3 linked regions of the Saccharomyces cerevisiae S288C genome follow. The gene in region 3 interacts genetically with the main gene of each other region. Each region holds a gene or a part of one and is shown on either strand. Other genes may lie near its edges.

What was found.
Region 1: mutations in URA4 (region 3) and AIM22 together harm fitness more than expected from each alone (negative genetic interaction), as found in Saccharomyces cerevisiae (2 studies listed by BioGRID).
Region 2: mutations in URA4 (region 3) and ERG11 together harm fitness more than expected from each alone (negative genetic interaction), as found in Saccharomyces cerevisiae (2 studies listed by BioGRID).

The regions. Positions count from the first base shown.
Region 1 is NC_001142.9:350,623-354,242, reverse strand, and holds AIM22 (putative lipoate--protein ligase), read right to left. Parts: upstream 1,858-3,620; coding exon 628-1,857; downstream 1-627. Other genes in the region: cullin RTT101, read left to right, coding at 2,135-3,620. UniProt on the Saccharomyces cerevisiae protein: Catalyzes both the ATP-dependent activation of exogenously supplied lipoate to lipoyl-AMP and the transfer of the activated lipoyl onto the lipoyl domains of lipoate-dependent enzymes.
Region 2 is NC_001140.6:119,536-123,386, forward strand, and holds ERG11 (sterol 14-demethylase), read right to left. Parts: upstream 2,149-3,851; coding exon 556-2,148; downstream 1-555. Other genes in the region: YHR007C-A (uncharacterized protein), read right to left, coding at 3,015-3,230; superoxide dismutase SOD2, read right to left, coding at 3,354-3,851. UniProt on the Saccharomyces cerevisiae protein: Sterol 14alpha-demethylase that plays a critical role in the third module of ergosterol biosynthesis pathway, being ergosterol the major sterol component in fungal membranes that participates in a variety of functions.
Region 3 is NC_001144.5:961,759-965,441, reverse strand, and holds URA4 (dihydroorotase), read right to left. Parts: upstream 1,658-3,683; coding exon 563-1,657; downstream 1-562. Other genes in the region: proteasome regulatory particle lid subunit RPN13, read left to right, coding at 1-352; YLR419W (RNA helicase), read right to left, coding at 2,707-3,683. UniProt on the Saccharomyces cerevisiae protein: Catalyzes the conversion of ureidosuccinic acid (USA) to dihydroorotate, the third step of the de novo pyrimidine biosynthetic pathway.

The sequences.
Region 1 (3,620 bases), on a different chromosome or scaffold from region 3:
GATAAATGATTAATAACCAAAAAATTTTGTTTCATCATACAAATTCAAAGAAAGTATTGTTTCATAAGAATGTTGCTGAAAGGACTTTGAGTGAATTGTGAACAGTTTGATAATTATTGGTCCAAATGGCGACATTGAAGACACAGTGTAAATTATTCAATGATGATTTGGCCTGGTTTTTACAAATGATTTTATCGACGTCAAGAGGATACAGTTCAAGAACGGTTAAGCGACATTGACAAAAAATGCTCAAAAACCACTGGTGCAACTTTACTGGTGGCAGTTTTTTGAAGTGAAAAGGAACTTTATTCTGGAGCGGAAGAAATTCAATAAATGTCACCACAATACCGATGCTATTCTTAGATGATCGATAAAATTAAGTACTATCTGTCGGTTTCTCAAATAACAGTATAAATATTTAGTTCACATTTAGAGACGGCTGAATCGTAACAAAATATAGTTCTTATAGATCTAAAGTACGAACACTCCTAATGTATCGCTTATATTGAAGTTTGCTGTGAATCTAGGACGCGTCTGCTGAAATATGCTGAATCAGTTTCCGGTGAAAGACTTTAATTTTGATATTTACCTACGTTATTTACAAGTGAATTGAAATATTCATCAACGTTATGTGTAACTGTCAATATTCTCCAAAAATCCTTTGAATTCCAAGCCGATTAAATCATTTCTATCACAATCATAAATCATGCCCTTTTCGACTTTAATTGTTAAGCCTTTATCTTTAATCTTCACTGAAAATTTAGGCCCCGAGAAATATTTCCATTGTTCGCTCTGTAAGGTGTTCATAGCATCTTTAATCTCATCGTTTATAGATTTAAACTCGTCACAGTAATATATAGGTATTTCGCCGTCAACTTTGAATGTTTTCTGAAAACGCTCGGATACCACTGCAATGAACTGATTAGGAGTAATTATACCAACATTTTTGATTTTTGATTTTACACTATGAACTCCACTTGACTCCCATTCCATATTGTTCGGTAGTGAGGGTTCTAATAAGCCGCTAAACTGTTCTAAATCCGCATTAAGCAACATCGTTGCATGATGGTATGCTTTGCCACCGGCAATTTTATAAGCACTGCCACTAATTTTAAACCCGTCCTGAATAATATCTCCTCTCTCATTCAAATCTAGTCTTAGTTCGGGATTCAATGAATTTAACCACTTAATTATCATTTTGTTGAAAAACTTTGTTTCGAATTTCTCCCTTGATGTTAAATATGAATAATTAACATTGCCCAAATCATGCAGTACAGTGCCACCTCCAGAAAATCTTCTAAGTAGTTCGAAATTCTTACTCTTCAGCTTAGCAAGATCTACTTCCTGCCACAGATTTTGGTTTTTGCCTATAACGGCGCACCTATCATTGATGTAAAATAACAGTCTGCAATTATCGGGACCTCTTTTGGCTCTTGGTGTATTCTTGAAAACATAGTTTTCAAGGGCCAAATTATAATAAGGACTGGTGGATAAACTTTGTATAACAAATCTGCCCTTTGCCTTTACTATATTTTCCAATTGTGAAGCAGACATGATCTGTTTGGCATATCCAATATTATAGAAATTGTACAAGTCTTTATTAAAAGCACTGATATCTTCTTCCATAGAGCTGGCCTTCGTCGTATCATAATCAGATTTACCTTCATCCTGCAAAATTGAAACGTTATCATTTGAAGGTGTAAACATGTTTTCATACATTGAGTTTATATCATGATATTTATCGTCTGCGTCTTTTGCCCATCGTGTAAGTGTGTGAAATAAAGTGGTGCAATGTATGAGGTTTCGCTGTCCCACATATCGAGGGGAGAGTGCCCAATTACTTAGCATCATAGACATAATGTAAACATCAAAGAAAAGTCTAGTGTTTTCTTCTTTTGTATTCATCAAAAATTCTACATACGTGAGCTCGGAGATTTTTGGATGTTCAATATTCCTGATTAAGTATGACGAAGCGGAACGCATAGCTATCCTTTGCGTAATGATGAATATGAACAATGCGAATGAAGATCATCGATATCTTTGCACTAAAAGACTACTTTGAAGGAATCCTCAAGATATTAAACCCACCAATCTTTTTTACTGGTATAAATTCTCGTACGGGTTCACAGGAACAATGATAAATGAGAGCGTTTCCAAGAGAGAAGGATTCCACGAGTCTATAAGCAGAGAGACGAGTGCAAGCAACGCTTTAGGACTATACAATAAATTTAACGATGAGCGAAATCCCAGGTATCGAACGATGATTGCTGAGCTGCACGAGTTTTTTCACCTTACTTTAGCTGAAACTATAACTGAAACTGACGTGAAAGAATTGGAGTGTAATAAAGAAAAGGCCGCTAAATTTAGAAAGCTAATGCCTAAGATGTTGAACAATTGCCGTGAATTAACGCAAAGGAAATCATACATTCCTTACAACTCAGAATTTAATGGGAATGACGAAAAGCAAAAGAAGTTTCAGCTGCTACATCAACACCAAATTGTGCTGAGTTTTCAAGAATTTTGTGATGAATTGGCAAAGTTAATAATTGACGCGCACGTCCTTAGCTTTTTGACCAGATGCGACTATTCTTATGAAATTATACCCAAAAATTGGACCTCTTTTTACAAGCTATTTCAGTACGTAATGGGTGCCGTTGGTCCTATTATATCGTATGTGCCGGTAAATTATCCCATGATAAGAAAAGAACTAGGATTTGAGACCTTAACGATATTTCAGTATTATGATTCCAAACTTTTCGAATGTATGAAGTCACATTTTGGAAGGGAATTTTCCACCCTTGTAAGCGCTACTATTCATCACTATATTCATATGTTTCCAATAACGAATACAATGTTAGAGAAGGAAGTTCCTATGCTCCGTATAATGTCTAACTGCAATTTTAGTATAGAGGGCTTGAGCCCCAAAGATTTTTATATGAAAACTCTCAGACAATATTACTGTGAGGAATCAAATTTAAGGCCGAGGCTGGAAACTTTCAAGAATTTTAAGGTACTATTGACGAGGAATGCATTATTAGCATCTTTATTTTCCCCTGAATGGGTCAGCGATGCAAATGACCTATTTATAAGCCATCTACTGTTGAACAAGAAGTCTATTAGCGAATACATAGAAATTGGGAAGGACACTTATGATGAAGAAAAAGAGAGATATTTCAAAACTGAGACACACTTTAGCTTATTGATGTTTAGAAATGCTTTTGAAGCAAAAAATATGCTGTCAAAATTCAAGGAATTCTGTGATGATGCCGTTTCAGAAAAGTTAAAGGCAGCATATGGATCCAATCATGATACTGAAAGGCTATTTGATGAGGTAGTTCAGCTAGCTAATGTAGATCACCTCAAAATATACTCCGATTCCATCGAGTACCATTTATGTAATTTACTTGGAAGTACCAGCAAAGCCATAGAACAGTATGTCAAATATTTTGAGTCACATTTATTCATCATCGTCAGAAAGATAAAAACAACTAAAAAAGACCTACCCAGAGATATGAAAATAAAGTATCTCAACGAAAATCTTCCTATATTGAGACTGAAGTTCGTTAACCTTCCCACATTTCCTAATTTTTTCGAAAGATCAATTTTCAGAAAGACGATCT
Region 2 (3,851 bases), on a different chromosome or scaffold from region 3:
TTTATAAAACAATGGATACTAAGGATGGTTCAATTCACTCATCATTTGGATTTATCACTATAAAAAGCAGTAATGAATCTTATATACATTTATTTCAGTGAATCCATATTTAAGAGAGCTTCCTCAGTGACCCCTCCCCAAAACTCCTCTCCTCCTGGGCCCTCTCTTGATTAATTTAAATTGCAAAAAGATTTACAAGTTTGCGAAAAGACTGCTTTATTTCCGCTTGGCCTGTGAGCTGTGTGTTCTCTCTTCTAATCCAGTAGGCATGTTGCATAAATAAACCTTATATTTGATGTTGTTTTAGAAATGTAATCTATATATAATTTCGTAGTATAAATATTTATAAATAAAGAAGTGAAACCATACCACTCATAAATAATGCGGGATGGTTGTCCAAGTTTGAAAGTAACTAAAGAACATAACTCGATGTCATATCAAACGTACTGGCAAATAAAATAAATCATTGGAGATGGATGAGTGTGGCGATAAGGCCCACGTGAATGTACAACTTCTCTCTTTTTCTGTTTTTTTTTTTTTTCTCAGTTACAAACCTTAGATCTTTTGTTCTGGATTTCTCTTTTCCCAGATGATCTTGGCTGGACCGGTTGGAAGAGTAACCATAGATGTAAAGTCAGGAGGTGGAACGGTCTTACCCTCTGGGTAATGCCATTTTAATGTTCTGATAAAAATGGACATTAGAACACCTAGCTGACAGTAAGCAAAGTGTTCACCGATACATCTGTGTCTACCACCACCGAAAGGTAAGTATGGAGAGCTGACACCCTTAGAAATGGCACCGAAACCGTAATCGACTTCTTCACCGACGGAATAAGAGGAGGCAGAATCTTTGTTCCAACGGTGAATGTTGAATTGGTGAGCATTAGGGAAGTATTCGTCTCTTAAATGAGTGTAACCTGGAGAAACCAAAACGTGATAACCTGCTGGGATGACATAAGAAGTGTTTGGAACGTGCATATCTTTCATAACCTTACGGAACAAAGAGTGCAATGGATGGTGCATTCTTAGAGTTTCCTTAATAGTTTGGTTCAACAATGGCATTTCTTGTAATAAATCGTAGGTCAATTCCTTCTTACCACCATCCAAAACACGCATTTGTTCTTCGTACAATTCTTGTTGGACATCTGGTCTTTCAGCCAAGTGCAACAAAATCCAAGCAGAAGTGGCAGCAGAAGTATGTTGACCACCCATTAAGACACCAATTAACAAGTTAGCGATTTCTTGATCAGTCATCTTCACACCATCCTTGTAGGTAGAGTTCTTCATCAAGGAATCGATCAAATCTCTGTCTTGAATGTCGTTGTTCTTTCTTCTTTCCTTAATCAAAGACATGTAAGTACCGGAGATAGCCTTTTGAGCGTGATCTCTCTTTCTATAGTGTTCCAATGGTAAGTTAGGGAAGACGAAGTTGATTGGAGTGAAACCCTTATCCAAATCACTGTACAAGTAAGCAAAATCGGTATCCAATTTTGCTCTCATTTCCTTACCCAATAATGATCTTGAAGCGGTGAAAATAGTCATTTCAGGTTGAGTAACCATCACGTCAATAGTACCAGTAGTTCTTTCATTCAAACGGAAGTTTTTGGAGTCTCTGAAGTACTTGTACACTTCTTCAGCAATCAATGGAACGTAGCTCTTGAAGGCTTCTTTGGTTAGAGCACCCTTAACAAACTTCTTTTGCTCCATCAATCTAGAATTTGGACAATCGTAAATAACACCTTTACCGAAAACTGGAGTAGTCAAATGAGCGTAAGCAGCTTCTGCTGAAACATCTGCCAACTTAGCGTTGAAGACAAATTCGTGACCCTTTGGTCCTAAATACACAGTCATGACTCTTCCTAACAAAACGAATGAAAAAATATCACCGTATTTCTTTTGACATTCTTCGAAAAACTCGTATGGCTTCATACCGTACACAACAGCACTACCGACCCATGGAATCCAGTAAAACACTAGAGGTGGACGGTCCTTTCTCAAAGAATATAGTAATTGCCATACAATATTGTAAATGAAAGGAATTATTATGATCAAAGAGATTCTTTGGGCCAATGGTAAAGCCAAGAAATGACTTAAACCAATGTTTACGTATTCCAATGCCTCTCCAACGATTGACTTGGTAGCAGACATCCTTGTATTACTCGTTTGTTCTGTTTCTATTCAAGCCTGCTGCAATTGTGAAGGAAAAAAAATTTTTTCTGGAAACTATTAATTAATATAATGAAAAATTATTACTTCCTATCGAAAATACACACGCTGAACGATACTGCTTATCAATCTTTTTATAAATAATTTACCAATAACGAAAAGGGAAAAAGGAAAAGGGAAAAAAAAAAAGACATTGAAAGAGAGAATTAAGAGGGAATAAGAAAACTAAGGGAAAATACGCTATCTTATATAATGAATACACATGGAGGGCAATTTTTAGAGGCTTTTCGAATACATGCGAGTACGTAAACGTCGTTAACTCGTGGAGATGCACAATAGGATGTGCTCATACCAAGAAAAAAAAAAAATTCAGGCATAAAATCGATGTCTCCTGCAAGATACCTACCACACTTATTGTGTTCTGCAAGAGACTATTGTCATCTGAAAAGCGATTATCTTGAAATCTTAGTTTCGTTTCGTTTCGTTTAGGGCCAGCGCTTCGTTTGTCTCGTTTTTCGTGGATTATCGGCCTTTAAGATTGTCCAACCCGGCAAATCTTGCACGCACATTGTATGTGCGCTGCTCGTATAGTATCCACTTCGTGTGACATTACTATAATCGTACGGCTTAGTCGGGAATAAAGGCTGGCCTCATTTTCGTACAGAGACATTTTGCCGGAAATTTCGTATTTTGCTGTGCCCCCGGTAATTCCCGGGCGCGGCACAAAACCTCTCTAAACAACCGCCCATTGTTGCAATTGTTCGTCTGTACGGGACAGGCGGCGATCATAACGTCGCACGGTGCACAGCAATTGCCGTTTTCGGAGATCTCCCTGAGTAAGCAGTCGTTTACGACCTTAATGGCTTTACAATTATCGGTTGGAACAATAACAAGAACAATTGGTTCTCTGCCTGGTGGTGAGTTAATCTGGTGGGAATGTAGTGCACAGGCGCGAGTAACGTAGGAAGCGAGAGAGAACAAGGAAAAAGAAAAAGTGGAGGAAGGTTGGTTGTATTGTCTTTTTCGGTTCTTTTCTTTTCTTTTTTTCTTTTTTTACGATGCATGTATATGTATTTTAATAGTAAAATATATTATTAAATAGGGGAGTGTGGTTGTGTGATTTAGTAGAGTAGTTAGAATAAAAACGACACAGTGGAAAAAAAAAGGTATTTTCTTTCTTTCTTTCTTCAGATCTTGCCAGCATCGAATCTTCTGGATGCTTCTTTCCAGTTGACCACATTCCAAATGGCTTTGAAGTAGTCGGCTTTCTTGTTTTGGTACTGCAAGTAGTAGGCGTGTTCCCAGGCGTCAATGGCAACTAGAGGAACTAGTGGGCCTGTGACGGTATCCTGGTTGTAGGTTTGAACAACGTCCAGCTTGCCTCCATTAGAGAGGTTTTTCACAATGAAGGCCCATCCGGAGCCCTGCACGCCTGCTAGCTTTGTGTTGGTCAACTTAATCAGCTCGTCCAGACTGCCAAACTGCTCGTCGATTGCCTTTGCCAAAGCGCCGGTGGGTGGTTCACCACCGCCCTGCGACTCTGGAGCCAGGTTTTCCCAGAATAGACAGTGGTTTGTGAAACCACCGCCATGGAACTTGATGTTTTGTTGGATAGCAATCATTTTTCTTGCGTTTGCGGGAGAGGGCTCCTTGGCCAGAAGATCTGAGAGTTCTTGGAATTGGTC
Region 3 (3,683 bases):
GGAAGAATTGGGATTTTGGGATTTCGAGTGGCGTCCAACGGAAAAGCCGGTCGGGAGGGAACTTGATCCTATTTCTTTGATTTTAATTCCTGGAGAGACCATGTGGGTTCCAATAAAATCCAGTAAAAGTGGCAGAATATTTGCTTTAGTTTTTTCATCCAACGAAAGGTACTTCTTTTGGCTGCAAGAGAAGAACTCAGGTAATTTGCCCTTAAATGAATTGAGTGCGAAAGATAAAGAAATTTACAATAAGATGATTGGAGTGCTGAATAATAGTAGTGAAAGTGATGAGGAAGAAAGCAATGACGAAAAGCAAAAAGCTCAAGATGTGGATGTTAGTATGCAAGATTAAATCAAGGTTGTGGCATTTTTTGATAAAAAACTGAAGAGAAAAAATATACCATATCAACGCATTTGGCTGTGAACTTCTGTAAAGAGATACGGACCATAACAATAGGCATGATGATGGCATCTATAACTTCTATTGGAAGGTAAGTTTATTTTTCCCATAAATATGTATATATGGTCTATACTCTCAAATGAGCCTACATATTGTTGCATATTAACGAGGTTCCCATCTCACCGACCAACTTAGTTTATCACCTGCTTTAAATGGGATGATGCTTATGTCTTTGCCATCGCTGATAACCTGAGGGATAACTTGTTCTTTTTTGAATAATATTGCCTTATCTGAAGAAGCCACTTCGCTATCTTTAACCTCATAAAAGGAAATTCCGAAGTCGGAAACAAAGCCCTTTAAGTTCTCCAAGGCATTTTGCTCTTCAAAAACTTGGGCGATATAAGGGATCGCAAAAGATTGTGAGTAAACTCCTGCGCAAACACCCTCGTAATTGGCCTTATTTTGTACAGGATGAGGTGCTGAATCAGATCCAAAGAAAAAATATGGTTTCCCTGATACAGCAGCTTTGACTAGAGCCTTTTTGTCATTTGGAAGTTTCGCAACAGGTTTGCAAAAATTTACCGGATTTCCGGCCCAATCATCAATTGTTAAAAATAAGTGATGAGCCGTTAATGTGGCAGCAACCTTTACGTCAGTGGCTTTCTTCACGTTCTTATTTATATCCTCGATTGTCTTTATTGCCGACTCGCTAGTGCAGTGTTCCAGAATTATTTTCAGGTTTGGGAAATCATTATGCAATTTTTTCAAGGCTGGCAAAAAGGCTTCCTCTGCATTCAATACATGAATAGGTTCTTTGTCTCCATCATGGACAGAAGGTTTTTCCCCATGCAAATTTAATACCAGGTTCTCTTCTTGCATAGCCTTGAAAATTGGGTAAAATGCGCTGAAGTCATTTGGATCCACCCCAGCAGCCGAATTTGTTGTTACTCCCGCTGGATAACACTTTACTCCACGAATGGCATGTTGTTGGGCAGCTTCATGAATTAAATCTGGAGTTAAGTCTTTTGAAAGATAAAAACTCATTAAGAAGGTAGTTTTAGGAGCTAGTTTCTGCAGTGTCTTTTTGTATTCAATCACTCTATCTAGTGTGGTAATTGGAGGTTGTAAATTTGGCATGATGTAAGCAATTGAAACCCCACCATCTCTAATCTTGGGGGTGACTAGTTCACACATCGCACCCTCTCTTACATGAACATGCATATCACATGTCAAACCTAAATCGATTTCTTGTACCATTGCTTTGTTAGGTATTACTTAAGTGATATAGTGGTCACCAGAACACTTTCAAAGTATATCCTATCTTTCAAATGTGTTTATCTCTTCTTATATAGCTTCTCTGACGATGCCGATTCATCGGAATTCTCCGAATGATGAAATTTGACTCTGTAGATACTATTCTTGAAAAAATTAGAGCTGATGCCGAAAGACAACTAAACTAGCATCGGTTTCAAGAAAAAATACGCGAGAGGCAGCATGACATGAGTGAATTGTGGGATAATTGTTGAGATTCTATTTTTTTGTAAAGCTATAATATTAGGCATACAAAACATATTAGAAGTTCTCAACGAGGACATGGGAATTCGCAGGAAGAAATCGATATTTCTATGTTATAATATTAGTGTTTCTTCTTTCATTTCAAACGATACCATTCATTTTGTAATTGCATAATTAATCCCTGCATTTCAGCTCCCATTAAATTGGCTAATCCCTAGTGTTGTTCTATTAGTCTCATGATTTATGTCTTTTCTTAACGGTGTATAGTAATTTTCTAGCAACGAAAATGATGTTGGTAAACAATTGTACTAGTATTTGATAAATTTTTCAGAGGCTTACCAACATTAATGAGATATAAACAGATGTATATTGCAGAATAAAAAAGATGTAGCAATATGCATGCGTAAAGATTAATCAAGTTAAACTGGATGGTGTTCGTATCCTGTATTTCCTTGTTGTTGTATTATCGACGGAGGGTTGGCCGAGTGGTCTAAGGCGGCAGACTTAAGATCTGTTGGACGGTTGTCCGCGCGAGTTCGAACCTCGCATCCTTCAGTATTTTTTTTTTATTTTGACGGCGCCACAAAATTTTTAAAATATGGCAAAGACAATGTGCTATGTAGTTTACGGGATTCTAGCCCTGATTCAGCAAAGAGAAAAACACGCAGTCGCAATAATCTCTTAGATTTTTGTTAGTGTTTTATACTTTGACACTTCTATATGTTAAAAAAATTCCTTTTCGAAAATGAAGATGATAATTATTATACAGGGACTACAGTAGGAACTGATTACTATTGTTCGGAAGCTATAATTTTTTCAACAATTTTTAGAGTTTTATCAGCACCAGAATTATCAATTTGAGATTTTTTAGCATAATCGGGACTTTCTAACTTTTTCCTTATGGCCTCATCAAGTTGTGTTCTCAGTTCCTTGATTAAAACACCATTCTTACACCAGGTTCTAATTGGGAGCCAGTTGTCGACAACGATGCCCGGTGAATGAATAGTACCTCCAATGTCATAAGAGATTGCCCCTCCGAATAATAGTAATGATAATGTAGTAGTTGGGGTTAAGTCCCTCAAATACAACTTATTAGTAACTTGAGACGTGGTAAACAAAACAAATGGGTATTTTACAACGGTTGGTATTTTGGATTGACGGGATATTGGACCATCCACCTCAGAGAGTAACTTAGCGTCTTCCAAGTTTACTGAATTGGTTGAAAATAAGACTGAACTTGGATGAATGAATGCCCTAGTAGCAGGTAACGGTAAATCTTCCAAATCAACCTTTTGCGTCTCTTGCGAAATTTTCGTCTTATATTCTTCTAATTTGTCCTGATACTCTTCGCTTCGAATCCAGTATTTGATCATTTTGGCTTCAGGATCTTTTTCAACAGCACCGGAACTTGTTGATAGATACTTTACATCTGGTAGTTGCACCCTGGCTATGTGTGGATAAAACGCACCCGTGAGAATGGCCCTTAGGATATCAAAATTTCGCTCGTTCCTATTCAAATCAGAAATGCTTCCAACTTTATAGTCCATTGGTAGAAAGCCTACATCTTTCAAAATAGAATAATATTGGGCTGTTGATGACTTAATTTCATTAATTTTATTATAGGAAAGTAAATTGTCTCTCAAATATTTCCTTTTGATGCTCGAATCTTTGATTTTGAAGTAATCTCTGACAATTTCCAATACTGCAAATAAATCCCCACGACTTTCATATTTACATAGCAGTTTTTTTATCTTTTCCCTATTTTCAA